3 linked regions of the Arabidopsis thaliana genome follow. The protein of the gene in region 1 purifies or fractionates together with the protein of each later gene. This does not show direct contact. Each region holds a gene or a part of one and is shown in the gene's direction. Other genes may lie near its edges.

Region 1 (5,042 bases):
GTGGGCTAGGAATTAGGAAAGCTCAGGATATGAATAAAGCTCTTCTCTCTAAGCTAGGATGGCGTCTAATTCAGGATCATCATAGCTTATGGGCGAGAATCATGAGATGTAAGTACAGAGTACAAGATGTTCGGGATGGTGCTTGGACTAAAGTTAGAAGCGTCTGCTCATCGACTTGGAGAAGTGTAGCGTTGGGTATGAGAGAGGTGGTAATCCCGGGCTTAAGTTGGGTGATTGGAGATGGTCGGGAGATTCTGTTTTGGATGGATAAGTGGCTAACAAATATTCCTCTAGCTGAGTTGTTGGTTCAGGAGCTTCCGGCGGGTTGGAAAGGAATGCGAGCTAGGGATCTTTGGAGAAATGGGATCGGTTGGGATATGGCGGCGATAGCTCCATATATATCTTCTTATAACAGATTACAATTACAATCGGTTGTTTTAGATGATATAACGGGAGCTAGAGACAGAATATCGTGGGGGGAGAGTCAAGATGGGAGATTCAAAGTGAGCACCGCCTATTCTTTTCTTACTAGAGATGAGGCGCCGAGACAAGATATGAAGAGATTCTTTGACCAAGTATGGAACGTGACTGCGCCTGAGAGAGTGAGACTCTTCCTCTGGTTAGTAGCACAACAAGCCATTATGACGAATCAAGAAAGGCATCGTCGACATTTGAGTACCACGAGCATCTGTCAAGTTTGTAAGGGAGCGGAAGAGTCTATTATCCATGTTCTCAGAGATTGCCCTGCAATGGAAGGAATATGGCTACGGCTTGTCCCGGTGAGCAAACGGCGCCTTTTCTTTGAGAAGTCTATTCTTGAGTGGTTGTATGTAAATCTGGGAGACCACGGTGAGGTGAGAGGCAGTGTTTGGTCCACAGTTTTTGCATTGGCAGCTTGGTGGGGTTGGAAATGGCGTTGTGGAAATGTTTTTGGAGAGGTTGGCCGCTGTCGGGATAGACTACGGTTCATTAAGGATTTGGCAAATGAGGTTTCAGCTGCTCACTTAAAGCTCCCCGGGAATACGAAGGAGATTGTGCGGGTAGAGCGACAAGTCTCATGGAGGAAACCAAATGAGGGCTGGGTCAAGCTGAATACGGATGGGGCGTCGCATGGGAATCCCGGAGAGGCGACTGCAGGTGGTGCGTTGCGGGATGAGGAAGGCAATTGGATTGGAGGCTTTGTGCTTAATATTGGGATTTGTACAGCTCCTTTGGCAGAACTGTGGGGGGTCTACTATGGACTTTACATAGCTTGGGAGAGGCGGGTCGCGAGGTTGGAGCTAGAGGTGGACTCGGAGATTGTGGTGGGGTTTTTAACTTCAGGGATCAGTGACTCTCACCCCCTGTCGTTCCTAGTACGTTTGTGCTATGGCTTTTTTATCAAGGGACTGGTTAGTCCGTGTGTCACATGTGTATAGGGAGGCTAACCGTCTAGCGGATGGGTTAGCGAACTATGCTTTTTCTTTACCTTTAGGTTTCTATTCTTTTAATCTTCCACCGGATATTGTTAATCCGATTTTGTTGGAAGATGCCAATGGGGTCTCAAGGTTACGTTTTGTTCGGTTATAGTTCTTTTTTCTTTTGTTATGAATAATAAAGCGGGAGACTTCTCCCGTTTTCCGGCCAAAAAAAAAAAAAAGAAAACAAAGACATTTGCCTTAAACTATACCGAGCCTCTTCTTAAATTCTAATTTGAATACACCCTCCTTAGAGGCCAATTGTGGTTATTGGCAAATATTAATCAACTTTGAAGTTTGGGTAACAATTCAAAACGTAAAAAGAAAAGAAGGACTACTAAAGTGAATTAAATACCAATAAGTAATAAACGCAAAGGATGACAAAAAAAAAAGTAATAAACGCAAAGATACTGTTTAAAACCCTTTCGCCGTCTCTTAAACCTCTTCCCTTAACCGACTTCGACTGTGTAAAATCTTCAGCCAGCGAAGCGACTGTATCAACTCCAGCTTCAATCTCCTTCGAATCGCAGGTTCTCTTCTTCGATTTTCATCTTCAATCTCCTTTTTGAAATCACACGAAAATCCCCTCACAATCTCTTCCACAAATTTCCGGTACTCGTAGAGTCGTTAGGTTTACTTCTCTTACTGTTTCTTCTCTGTAAATCACAATGCTTCGTCTTCAATTCTCAAAACGACTGGTTTCTGGGAAATTCTGGGTTTTATTTGAATTTTGATGAAATTGTGGAAAACTAGGATTCAGTATTTGGGTTTTTGTGGTTTAATTCTCTTGTGATTATGATGTGTTGATGTTAATTATATTTCTCCATGGATTTCAGATAACTGACAGCTTAATTGCAAAGTTAAGAGCGATGGGACTTGATCAAGAAGATTTAGAGTATGGTTTTTTTTTGTTAATTCTTCATTGATTTTGGATTTTAATTGAACTATTTAGATATATGTCTAATGTTACTCTTTCTATTGAAACAGCTTGACCAATGATGATCATTTCATTGACAAGGAAAAGCTTTCAGCTCCTATCAAGTCTACTGCAGATAAATTCCAGCTCGTTCCTGAGTTCTTGAAGGTACTACACAGAACACAAAAATCTTTATTTTTGCTTTATACGAATAGCTGAAACAATGCAATTGGGTTACTTTACTTTCAAAGTCTTTGATACTACTTGGAATGTATGTAATCTTGGTAGCAAAGGTAATCCATAATTTGATTGTGTAATTGTCTTGTTTTTGTAGGTGAGAGGACTTGTGAAGCAACACCTGGATTCTTTCAACTACTTTATCAATGTCGGGATTCATAAGATTGTTAAGGCAAATAGTCGTATTACATCCACAGTGGACCCATCAATCTACCTAAGGTCAAACTTTTTTTATCATCTTTTTTATCTCAATTTCTTTACATATGTATATTGATATACTTTGTTTCATAATCAGTATGTAGAACCGTTGGTGTTTTGAAGTCTTTTTTTAATCGTCCTACAACATTGATATATAAATTGAGATTGTTCTATTTATTGGATTTCTGCTCTTTCCTAAACTAACCTTTCGTAGCCAAATTTTAATGCAGGTTTAAGAAGGTCAGAGTTGGTGAACCGTCAATTATAAACGTTAATACGGTGGAAAATATTAATCCGCACATGTGCCGATTAGCAGACATGACGTAAAGAGTTCTTTTATTTACATTTTTTTTGTTGTTCGATGTTTGAGCATATGTTGGGCAGTTAGAATTTGGTGATATCTTTTGCATTTTCCACCTGTTTCTGTTGTTCTGCATTCTTCCACATCATCAATAACTTTCTTTTTTCTCTTGGCTGTGTTAAATGTCTTAAAACTTCTTGTTTTAATCATCAGATATGCTGCTCCAATATTTGTCAATATAGAATATGTTCACGGAAGTCATGGAAACAAGGCAAAAAGTGCAAAGGTAAATGGGAAAAACAAAATGTATTATACAAACTGCTGGTTATTGGAAAATTCAGGCTGAATATGATGTTTCTTTATTTCAGGATAATGTAATTATCGGAAGGATGCCTATTATGTTGCGGAGTTGCCGCTGTGTATTACATGGAAAAGACGAAGAGGAACTTGCAAGATTGGGTTTGTATTGTACTCTTATTTCAAGCATTACATCTTCTTGTTCATCATATTTATTGTATTTCATTTGGATTCTAGGTGAGTGCCCTCTTGATCCTGGAGGATACTTCATCATTAAAGGAACTGAGAAGGTGCTTCATACTTCGTATATACAATCTACTCACAGCATCTTATGGAGTCTATAGATTGCCTAGTAGTCCGCACTTTGACTTAGTGGATACATGTTCTGTGTTGTTGCATATCTTTAGTTCAGACTTGATAGTGTGTTTATTTAACTGTTAACACCGTTCTCGTTCTAATTGGCGTGTTTTGGTTTTTAGTTTCTTATGTCAATAGAGTTATCCGATTTGTCATGGAATCCTTTCCTTTTTACGTGACCTGAAGCCATGCCATTGCGTGTGTTGGTGTTTGATGTTCATTTCAGGTGTTGTTGATACAAGAACAACTTTCGAAGAACAGAATTATTATTGATTCTGATAAAAAGGGGAAGTAAGTGATCTCTTACAGTATTTTGGTCCCTGTAGTAATATTGATGGCAAGCATCCCCATATACATTAATTGTCAAGCCAAATCATTGTATCATGCTCCAGCAGTGTTCTTCCGTTATTTACCCACCACTATCCAATTATCAATTTTACTATTTACTGACTCTCTTTCTTTTACTACGTATTTTCAGCATAAATGCATCCGTCACAAGCAGCACCGAAATGACAAAAAGCAAAACAGTTATTCAGATGGAAAAGGAGAAGATATATTTATTTCTTCATCGATTTGTAAAAAAGGTGTAGATACATTATGACAACCTCCGCTTTAATTGTAGATCTTTCGGCGTTGGATTTTATTGGCTGAGCATGTGATTTTGTCATAGATTCCAATTATAATTGTCCTAAAAGCTATGGGAATGGAGAGCGACCAAGAGATTGTACAAATGGTTGGAAGGGATCCCCGTTTTAGCGCGTCACTCTTACCTTCTATTGAGGCAAGTACTATAGCCCCCTGCTTTTTATCTTGTGTCTAATTTATGGTCTTTTCGTAATGATACTGGTGTTTGAGTGAACCTTTCCATTTATAAAACTCTAGATCTAGAAGCAACTGTAGTTCTATGGATGTAAATGTTTGTTGTATGAATTTTTGAATCTCTTTCATTTGCGAAGTAAACTACGAAGCAGTGACCCTTGTGGTTGATTGTTTTGTTCTCACAATTTTAGTAGGAGGGTGAATGTCTAATTTTTAAACTCAACTCCCAATACTAACGTGTTGCCATAAAGAAGTCATAATACATAGATAATGATATTCAAATCTGATACCATGCATATTGTCTGATGCACTTGTGAGCAACGTTGGTCGGTCGGTGACGCATAAAGATATAGAAGCCACTTATGGCTCTTAGAATGGAAGGTTTTGCTTTGACATTGTTCTCCCTCTTGCTCTAGCTAATGAAAGTTATAGGTAATGTGTGAATATCATATACCTGTGT
Region 2 (5,301 bases), on another chromosome or scaffold:
ACTTCAAGGGAATTGACTTCTATATGCTTTTTTTTCTCTGCCAATTTATTAATACTTTGAAACTTTGATCTAAAACTAACATGTGGTATCAGAGCTTCTATATATATAGAAGCTTTAATACCCAATGTTAGGTCTAGATTGAAGCTACAAAGTACAAGTTCATTGGCAGAATTATTCATTGTGGCTATTAATCAATTTTAACATTTTTATATACACATCACTCTTGCCAACTAGATCCACAAAAGATCCTACAAAAAAGGAATTCAAATATATTTTGGAAAATCAAGTCCTTACTTGATAAGGACGATTCTTGCTCCTTTAATTTGTTAACAAGAAAAAGAAAAAATATCTCATATCTCGGATTAATACCTCACAAACCGACCGATTTATGTATTTCTGATTTGGTTTAAGTTCAGGTTCAATTTATAGAGAAGTTGGATTAAAAAATAACCAAGGCCTATGTATTAATGTTTTTTTTTGCAAGATTATGCGCTAGGTTGCATGGAAACTCGCTCCGAGGTGCGTTTCTCGTTTCCGAAACGTTTCGGAAACGGAAACTCTCCGGAAATACGAAAAACGTCACGGAAACGCGTTTCCTAAAAATCTAGGTTTAGAAACACGATGGAAACTTACGTTTCCAAAATAGAAACTCACGTTTCCGAAATAGACATACGACAAATCTTTTTTATTGACTTTAAAAATTTAATAACTAAAATTGAAAATATTAAAATTATTATTACATATAAATAATTTTGGAAGACTTTGAGTTTTAAGATCTTTCTTTTGTTAAACCAGATTTGAAAAGAGCTTTATATTATCTTTGATAAAACTAATGAAAATGTTGGTCTAAATTAACTATTTGAACTTGAACCTTTTAATTTTTATCTTTTAGAATTTTAGTTTATTTATTTAATATTGATATTTTGGACTTGTATTGTTTAAATCATTTTTTCTTTAATATAGTTTTATGTTAATGTTATATATATATATATAATGTTATATATATGTATAAATGTGTATACGTTTCCAAAACGTTTCCAATCCCTAATTTTAAGAAAAAATCGTTTCCCGTTTCCGAAACGTTTCGTATCCGCATTTCCGTTTCCGTTTTCATGCAACATAGATTATGCGAATGATTGCAATTTACAAGTAACAACTTGAGAGATGTACGTTCACTATGTCGCGAAGAATTGGTGAGGAAATCTTTCGTAATATTTTGTTATCCAATGGTATTTATCTCGATTGTAATCGTTAAATCATGAATGGATGGTTAAATATTTACCAAATAAATAAAAAGAAGAAGAATAATTAAAATTTATATATTGGTGAGCAAATATTATTATTCCGATTAAATTATACTTTTTAATTGTTGTTTTGTAAAATTGTTCAGTTCTGTTTTGTTTTGTAGTCTCTATTATCATCAGAGTTGTTTAGTTTGATCGTCGTGTGGACTCTTGACAGTCCTCATAGTCTACTAAATCTAAAACCAATGATAAATCAACTAATTAATTAAATAATCATGTCTATAAAGTATAAACTATATTTTTATGTGTTAACCCATCCAAATCTGCAAGTCCATACAAATTGACTCTAAATATATTGAAGCTGCAAAATCAGCCAAGTACAAAATTGACTCTAAGTATATTGAAGCTGCAAAATCAGCCAAGGTTACGCAATATAATCATATAGCGATCGATGCATCAGAATAATAAGTTAGAAAGCGATATCAATTGCAAAATAGTATAGAGTAGTATAAAAATATGAAAACACTCTGAAGTTGAATGCACCAAAATCTAAATGCATTGTTTTGTCTGCCAAATTGACTTCTATCTAGAAGCTTCTAGTGTGAAGCTCTGATACCACTTGTAACGTCCAAATCAAAGCTTCGAGTTACAAGTCAATTAGTAGAATGATTTATTGTTTTTGTTTCTTTTACTTATGAAAAGACTCTAAAGCAAAGCGAAGGAAGAGATGAGGAAGAAAAAGATTTGCCCAAACGGCAAACACTAAATTATTTAGATTGATGTTCTATTGTTCATATGAACAATAACGTCTATATATATGTGAATCTGATTCGATAGAATAACCTAATTACTTGGGCTTTTTTTGGGCTTATATTGATTTATCTGACAAGTCTGATCCCGGATAAAGTTCATGATTTGGTTAAGTTCGGTTCAATTTAAAGAGAAATTATATTGGGCTTTAAAACCCAGGCCCATATAAAAACGACTCACGTGGTATTATTAATAACCGGAGCCCTAGACCCGCCGTGAAATCGAGCGATTGAGAGCACTTCGCAAAATCAGAGCGACAAAAAAAAATAAAAACCAATCCTTTCGATTCCAAATTTTTTGTTACTCACTCGCACGAGTTTTATTTGGTCGTTAGTTATCTCTTTCGTTGAATAACGGTTTTAATTTAAACCGTTACTTTTTATCAATGGCGACTTCGTCACCGTCTCTGAGTAACAATGGTCTTTCCTCCGTCGTCACGCCTCCCAAAACTCTCCGTGGTCTCAATAAGCCTAAGTGTATTCAATGCGGCAATGTAGCTCGCTCCAGGTATTGCTTCTACGCATTGTTTCATCGAAGGACTTAGGTTTTTTACATCTGGGGTTTCGATTTATGGATTGTTCTTGGGTTTTTGATCTGAAAGGATTCGAATTTGTCTTGTATAGTACTTTTTCGTTTTGATTTAGGGTTCATAGGTTTGTGGGTTTGGGTTTTTATTCATGATTTGGTGATTAATCTGTTGGAGATTGTTTAAAGTTTTGAGCTTTAGTATCGAAAGATCAGTTTTTTGAGATTATTGGTGAAGTAATTGTAATTGTATTGCTTGGATTTGATAAATGCAGGTGCCCTTTTCAATCTTGTAAGGGTTGTTGTTCAAGAGCAGAGAATCCCTGCCCGATTCACGGTATGTTTGCCCTGTCAAATCTCAACTTCATAATTAGCTAAAGTGATCAGTTTTAGAGTTTAGTGTTGATAACTTTGATTGGAGAGTTCTATTCTTTCACTTGGTAAGTTTAGAGTTTAGTATTCTTGACTTCTATAGGGTTCGTTTGGTTGTCTCGGGACAAAAAAACCTATAAAGAACCATAAGACTGATTCTTGGAATGTGCTTGTGATTAGCTGAGAGATATAGAGATGTTATCATGGACTGTTTTGTGTTTCTTCTTATGTGTTTTATTTCGCTGCAGTTCTTAAAGTAGCTTCAACGTCTGGTGAGAAGACGCAGGCGCCAAGTACTCCATCTTCAGAGCAGAAAGCAACCGAGGGCACTCCCGGGTACATATATATAAACTAATTTTCTGTTTTGTTTGTGCTTCCATGGGCAAGTGAATCTTAGATGATAAACCGGTGTTTGCTTACTAATACTTTGATAGGAGATTCTTCAGCTTTCTTGTTTTATTGCACGTAGTTGATAGTGAGATGATATATTGGTCTTGTGGAACTAAAATATGGCGCTTTATGTTGACGTTTTCTTCTTTTGGAAATTGTTTCAGGAGTACCACTAGAGTTTCGTCAATCCGGCAACTTTCTAGCAACTTTGCTCAGTTTAATAACCTGAATGCTTCTTCCCGCCAGAGAAAACCTTTGACGATAAAGGTATACTAATTAAGACGTCTTTCATTGACTTTAGTACTCTATGAAAAATCTCCATTTAGTTGTTTTCCTCTTATCAGTTTTTGTTCTGTCTATATTCTATAGGATGCTCAAGCTTTAAACGAGTGGCGGTTTACAAAGCTAAAAGAGTACAGAGACAGAAACATTGAAGTAGAAAATGAAGCTTTTGATCGGTACATGAGTAATGTGAATTTACTCGAAGAAGCATTTTCATTTACATCTGTTCCTGATGAAGAGAGTCATGGAACAGCAGCTCCTGAGCAAAACAAAGAGGAAAATATTGTTTCAGAGCTTAAACTGAGGCTGAGATCGAACTCTGCAAGAACAGAGAGCTTTAAGAAGCGGATCGCGGAGACAGTCAAAGCCGGTTTGGTGAAGCTTAAGAGACTGGATTTAGGCAGTTCTTCAGATGATCAAGATGATATCAAAAGGCGGGTCAAAAGAAAGAAATGGGAAGAGAAAGGTTCAGCTTTGAATGAAATAATCGATAAACTGAACAAAGCAAGAACCGAAGAGGATCTCAAATCTTGCTTAGAGATGAAATCAAAGCTCTGTGGTCAAGTTTCTCCCACTGCTGCTTCCGAGAAGAACAAGATCTTTCCGGGTGTAGTCCGAAAAGTTGAGATGAGTGAAGAAGCACTTCAAAAAATCGCTGAGAATCTCCAATCTTTTGACAAAGTTGGAATGTTGTGAAGTCGAGAACATCCTGTGGATGAACTGAAAAGTTTGAGTGGCAAGAAAATTTCTAGATCCTTCGTGACCACGGTATTGTACAATGATCAAACATCCCTCAAAACTGATCCTGAAGACTCCAAAGACTCAAGAGATTCTTGTAAAGTAGTGTTGAGCATCATTTAGATATTAGAACTCAGCCATGGATAAAGCTGTTGATTCTATCTCATTGGATTTTTTTCACTGTGTGTTGTTGCTTTGTTAGATTTGAAATTGCTCATTGGATTACCTTTGACTTAATAAATAGTTGGTTTGGTTTGGTATTGGATAACCGCTCAGTCTAATTAGACCGGTTTGTTTTTTTGGAAAAAAATGAATCCATCCATCCATAGGCCACTTTCAACACGTATATTTGAAAACGACTAAAACCAAACTCTTAGATTCTAGTTTTGTTTTGCTGCCCCAATTCCACTATTGATCAAAACATATCCAAAAGTTTTTGTGGAACTAAAAAGTAAAAATAACGTTTAGTTTGTTTCCAATTTCAACCATATATATCTTATTCATATATGCATGTTGTGGTTGTCTCGTGTGTGTAGTATTCATTTACATTATGCAAACCAACTGGAAACATGTTGAATGGGTTATGGGTTGGTGGTTGGGACTTGAGGATCAAACAACTCAAATGAGCTCATTATAAGTTAAGCTCTCAATAATCATTAATTTATTTTTGTTACCACCTAATATTTCTACGAAGGGTTGGTGTAACAATTTTTAATTGTAAGATAATTGTGTAATCATTTTCAATATTAATTTTTATTATGTATTTATTTTAAAAAGTTATATAATACGTAACACATTTAGTACTTGGTTTTGGTAGCTTCATCAATGTACCATCCGAAGTTCCAAAAAATAAAAAAAAATGTCGATTTCACCGTTGGTGAAAAAGAAACTAAATTGATATGTATTATTCATTTTTTAGAAGAGATTATGGGTTTAAATC
Region 3 (5,099 bases), on another chromosome or scaffold:
CTTCCTGAATGTACTTGTGAGACGATTCCCCCTTGAGGGGATCATATAGGGCGGTAATTACAAAGACTCTTTGCCCAGCCCGAAGTACCCCGCTAAAGATCCTAGCAAATGCAAGGAAGCACTCATCTGACTCGCTTTTACTGTCATCATCATTTAAACCGTTCATCCTCTCTCTGTGATTTCCATCTTGAGGAATCATTTTCATTGGAATAGCAAACATTTTCGACACAAACACAACACAAGGACTGTCACTGCTAGAATCACAAGCCTCGATTGATTTTCTAACAAGCTCTGCTTCTGCCAGGACACTTGAATCAACATCATCACCACCAATAATTTTCCTTTCTGGAACCAAGCGTGGGATTCTATATGCCTGTGCTGCAATGGGGTCTGGCAGATGTTTCACAGCCATAGACAAGACTGCATCAGACAGAGGAAGCCAACGGCTCATCACCGATTGAAGCACGTTTTTTGGATCCTTGTTCTGAAGTTCGCGTGGTGGAATAGACAAATTGAAAGATTTGATAACTTTCTCAAGAACGGCTTTATCCCCACCAGGATCTAGTGCAGCTTCATAAACCTGCCACAAAGGCTCAAGCACAAACTGCACAAACATTGGTTTCGCCTTGCTTCCAGCACTTAAATTCTTCTTCCCTACTATCATCTTAGTCTTAGGAATATAATAACGAGGACCCCATAACGATTTCTGCAACGCAGTCGCACTAGCTCCAAGCTTGGAGGCATAAAAATTAGCAAACTCCGCAATCCCAAAACCCCACCCGTCTAAAGCACACACGAATACTACATTACCTTTCTGAGGCTGAAAAGTAACTTCTTCATCATCCTCCAACAACTCAAGACTCTCAGCAGACAACTCCCCTGAAGGACTAGCAAGTATAGAATCAACATCCGACAAATACTTCTCTGACTTATACGCACTCACAATCCCGTTAACCTCATGAACAATCCTAATCAAACGAGTATACGCCTCCATAGGACTCAACCTCAACTCAAAAATCAACCTATCAATCTTATTAAGCACCAAACAAGGAGTCAACTTCTCTATCCAAGCTTGACGCAACACAGCATGCGTTTGAATATGAACTCCCTCAACAGCATCAACCAAAACCAACGCACCGTCACTTAACCGAGCAGCTGTTGAGACTTCACTACAGAAATCCATATGACCAGGAGAATCAATCAGGTTCAAAGAATAGTCTTTATATTTAAGAGAAATCGAAGAGCTCTTCATCGTGATTGCACGTCTCTGTTCTTCATCTAGATAGTCCATGAACCTAAGCTTCCCGGCAAGTCTCGGGTGAAGAACACCGCCACCGGAAGAAGCAATTAGGTGATCGGCGAGAGTCGTCTTACCGTGGTCTACATGTGCTAGTATACATATGTTCCTAACTTTCCTACCTTCAGATTCATCCATCTCTTCAATTTACAAAACACACAGCTACCTGCAGATTCAATATATACAAGGATTACATTATCAGAATCGATGCGATTCAAATTAGTAGAGAAAACTTCAACAAAACATAATCCAAATCCTAAAACCTTGTGTGAGAGCTCACGAATTTTTGAATCGAATCCACAGAGTTGTGCACGTCTCGTAAGAATCAAAGAGAGATAAAAACGAGAGAGATGCTCTTTGAAGATTCCATAATATTTTAAAAAGTTCGATTCAAAAATTGAGTGATATGTAAAAAAATCACCTTAATCAGTTGATGGAGCTCAGACGTTTGAAGAAGAATGGTGCGAAACTTGCTTCGGCGGCGAAACAACGGCGGCGCAGGGTTTGGCGATTTCCCTCTGCAAGTTTGTCTGTATAAACATATACAAGAAGACGTGAACGTTTTTGATTTTAATTAAACCGGAACCCTGTAAACCAGAGAGACGGTTTAGTGCTCTCTTTTAACAATTTTAATTATAGTCTCGGACTCTTCAACCGGAATAAACCGGTCTAAAACGTTTTTAATTTCAATTGTACCGAAACCCTCTGACTCACAAAAAGTGTTTAGTGCTCTTTAAACAATTTTAATTTTTAAATCGTCTTGGGACTTTTAAACCGGAATAAATCTTTCGGGTCAAAATTTCCGAACCCTAACTTTAGCCCCAAATTAGAGAGAGATGCAGAAACGGGAGCTTGGGAAATCCGGCGGTAATTCCGGTGGATCTTCGGGTCCACCAGCGAAGAGAGGCCGTCCCTTCGGTAGTACAAGTGCTAACTCAGCTGCTGCTGCTGCAGCGGCGGCAGCAGCGGACGCGATGTCACCGTCAGCTTTACTTGGTCCTTCTCTTCTAGTTCACAATTCCTTCGTCGGTAAGCTCGCAATGACCACTCTATAATTCCTCTCTGTTTTCTTCTTGTGAACGAGTTTTTAATCGGTAATTTTCATTGGGATCATTGGAATTTATAGAGCAGAACAATAGAAGAATAGTTCTTGCGTTGCAGAGTGGTTTGAAGAGTGAGGTGACATGGGCATTGAACACACTTACGTTGCTTTCCTTCAAGGAAAAAGAAGATATTCGAAGAGATGTCATGCCTCTTGCTAAGATAGCTGGCTTGCTTGATGCCCTTCTCTTAATTGTGAGTTTATTTAATTGTTTAGGTGTTGGGATTGTGTTTTCCTCTCTGTTCTTTGAACCAACATGATGCTAAAACTTTGGCAGATAGATGATTGGCGTGACATAGCTCTCCCAAAGGACCTGACAAGAGGAACTAGAGTTAGAACTTTAGGTACAAATGCTTCAGTTACGGGATTTGGCAATGAGTATGATGCTCTAGCCTCTATTCAACCCCCTGGGTGAGCTAATTTCGATACTGCTTTGATTACAGTTTTAAATGATTGTTGCTTATATTTAGAATTAGAACCTAAGTGTTGTTAATATTTGGCCTAGCAGATCCGGGATTGGTTCTTCTGCTGCTGAGGCATTAGGAAAAAAGAGCACTGGTAAACATCAGTCATCTCAGTGGTGGATGGAAGAGGATGGTTTGTTTAATCTAGACGATGAAGGGAGATCAGAGAAACAAATGTGTGCTATTGCTGCATCGAACGTTATCCGCAACTTCTCCTTCATGCCTGATAATGAAGTTGTAATGGCTCAGCATCGCCATTGCTTAGAAACTGTTTTCCAGTGCATACACGATCATATGACCGGTAAGGAAGAATACTAATGTTTTGATACATACAATCCCAACCTTTTTGTTTCTTTTACTAGTTATAATTCCTTACATTTGCTTCTGATAGATTCTTATTTCTTATTGGTTTGAATTGGCTTGAATGTATTCTCTCTGTTTCCTTATTTGCTTGATACTTGATTGGGAACTATGGTCTTAAGACAATCTTTTGTTAACAGAGGATGAAGAGCTGGTCACAAACTCGCTAGAGACAATTGTAAACCTAGCGCATTTGATGGATCTTCGAATTTTCAGCTCGCTTAAGCAGTCATACATCAACATAAAGTGAGAAGTTGTATCTCCCTGCATTCTTAGTTACACAATCCATAACTTGTTTCAAATACCAATGTGAATCATTCATTACTCTTGTGCATATAGTGAAAAGAAAGCTGTTCAAGCTGTGGTCGGAATCCTCAATTCTTCTGTCAAAGCTTGGAATTGTGCTGCTGCTGAGTTGCTAGGGCGTTTGATAATCAATCCGGACAATGAACCTTTCATTAGTCCTTTAATTCCGCAGGTTTGTTAACTTCTATAATCTTCATATGGTTTCTGGCTACTTACTCGTTTTAACTAGTATTTAAACCCAACAATGGACCTATCCCTTGCAGATACACAAGCGACTAATCGATCTTTTGAGCATACAAGCCGTTGATGCACAAGCTGCAGCTGTTGGAGCACTCTACAATCTCGTGGAAGTTAACATGGATTGCAGATTAAAGCTAGCAAGTGAGAGATGGTAAACAAAAACTATACTCCCTCTCTATCGAATACAATCAAACTGTTTTTAGATCGCAACAATGACACACCATTATGATCTTTTTCAGGGCGGTTGATAGGTTGCTGAAAGTGATAAAGACTCCGCATCCGGTTCCAGAAGTATGTAGGAAAGCTGCAATGATCCTTGAGAACCTTGTCTCGGAGCCTCAAAACAGAGGATTGCTACTCGCGTATGAGAATGCTTTCGCTGAGCTGCTTTTTCAAGAGGGTAAGTATTCTGATTCATTTGCTAGGATTTTGTATGAACTCACTGCTAGATCTAATAGCAGAGTTGCTTCAGCTAGAGGAATCTGGGGCATGTAAAAGTCTTCTCTAGATTAGTGGGTTTGATTAATTGATTGTGTTGTAAACTTTAATCATTTGCTATGTATTAAAAAAGCAGTGTTGTTGAACAAAAAGTAGATGGATTCTTCTCTCGCATAGCTTCGACATGTGTTTTGTTTGATCTTTACTAAAAACAAATTTGAGATATTTTGTGATTCAAATTGAAAATAAAATAACCCAAATAATCACGTTTTGACGTTAGAATAGTGTATTGGTTAATCATATTCATATACTATACAATAAACTAACAAGAATTAAGTCACACATAATACAGTGTTTTGTCTTTACATTTTTTGTTATTATTACTCTTTCTTCAAAATCAATGTGTCTTTTCTTGTAGACGAGGAGACGTTTTCTCTTGTTATACATTTTTATTTGGATTCGGTTCGTATAGTAGAACATAATTATATTTTGAACAACCATAACCATTAACCACCTAATTAACCCATAAATTGTGACCAACAACTTTCTACAACGCGAACTAGAGCATTTCTACAAACGTTAATTGCGTATTCCACATATATTTTGCTAAACTTGAATTTCGTGAAGATTTTAGTAACCTTCTTCTTTGGTATATTATGGAGTTGAAAGAATATATAACCGTTGCTTTAAACACACATACCTGTATTTCGAGACAACTCATCTCAAAACTAAACTCTAAAATCAAGTTATTGCAATCTTTCTTTCTTTATGTTCATACAAGATAGTGGTTAACTGATTCACACACTAAACATTTGGTAGAAAAATATCAGAACAATAAGAAGAATATATTTGGAAAATGGTTTGATTGGTGATATAAAATTAGTTAGTGGTT

The links.
Region 2: the proteins of NRPC2 (region 1) and AT1G32730 fractionate together in Arabidopsis thaliana (co-fractionation; one large-scale study listed by BioGRID). This does not show direct contact.
Region 3: the proteins of NRPC2 (region 1) and LFR fractionate together in Arabidopsis thaliana (co-fractionation; one large-scale study listed by BioGRID). This does not show direct contact.

The regions. Positions count from the first base shown.
Region 1 is NC_003076.8:18,254,998-18,260,039, reverse strand, and holds the start of NRPC2 (nuclear RNA polymerase C2), read left to right. Parts: upstream 1-1,842; 5' UTR 1,843-1,987; exon of another isoform or gene 1,988-2,069; intron 2,070-2,293; 5' UTR 2,294-2,326; coding exon 2,327-2,352; intron 2,353-2,444; coding exon 2,445-2,541; intron 2,542-2,707; coding exon 2,708-2,829; intron 2,830-3,038; coding exon 3,039-3,131; intron 3,132-3,322; coding exon 3,323-3,395; intron 3,396-3,477; coding exon 3,478-3,568; intron 3,569-3,643; coding exon 3,644-3,696; intron 3,697-3,989; coding exon 3,990-4,054; intron 4,055-4,241; coding exon 4,242-4,347; intron 4,348-4,433; coding exon 4,434-4,544; intron 4,545-5,042. UniProt on the Arabidopsis thaliana protein: DNA-dependent RNA polymerase catalyzes the transcription of DNA into RNA using the four ribonucleoside triphosphates as substrates. Second largest core component of RNA polymerase III which synthesizes small RNAs, such as 5S rRNA and tRNAs.
Region 2 is NC_003070.9:11,838,638-11,843,938, forward strand, and holds AT1G32730 (electron carrier/iron ion-binding protein), read left to right. Parts: upstream 1-2,272; 5' UTR 2,273-2,439; coding exon 2,440-2,561; intron 2,562-2,854; coding exon 2,855-2,916; intron 2,917-3,199; coding exon 3,200-3,287; intron 3,288-3,505; coding exon 3,506-3,608; intron 3,609-3,710; coding exon 3,711-4,319; 3' UTR 4,320-4,671; downstream 4,672-5,301.
Region 3 is NC_003074.8:8,161,882-8,166,980, forward strand, and holds LFR (ARM repeat superfamily protein), read left to right. Parts: upstream 1-2,059; 5' UTR 2,060-2,133; coding exon 2,134-2,326; intron 2,327-2,423; coding exon 2,424-2,593; intron 2,594-2,676; coding exon 2,677-2,810; intron 2,811-2,907; coding exon 2,908-3,164; intron 3,165-3,363; coding exon 3,364-3,469; intron 3,470-3,562; coding exon 3,563-3,701; intron 3,702-3,792; coding exon 3,793-3,920; intron 3,921-4,008; coding exon 4,009-4,264; 3' UTR 4,265-4,469; downstream 4,470-5,099. Other genes in the region: AT3G22980 (Ribosomal protein S5/Elongation factor G/III/V family protein), read right to left, coding at 1-1,435. UniProt on the Arabidopsis thaliana protein: Involved in leaf and flower development. Plays roles in leaf development partly by associating with AS2 and repressing KNAT1/BP transcription. Required for the formation of anther cell layers and normal expression of genes that regulates anther development.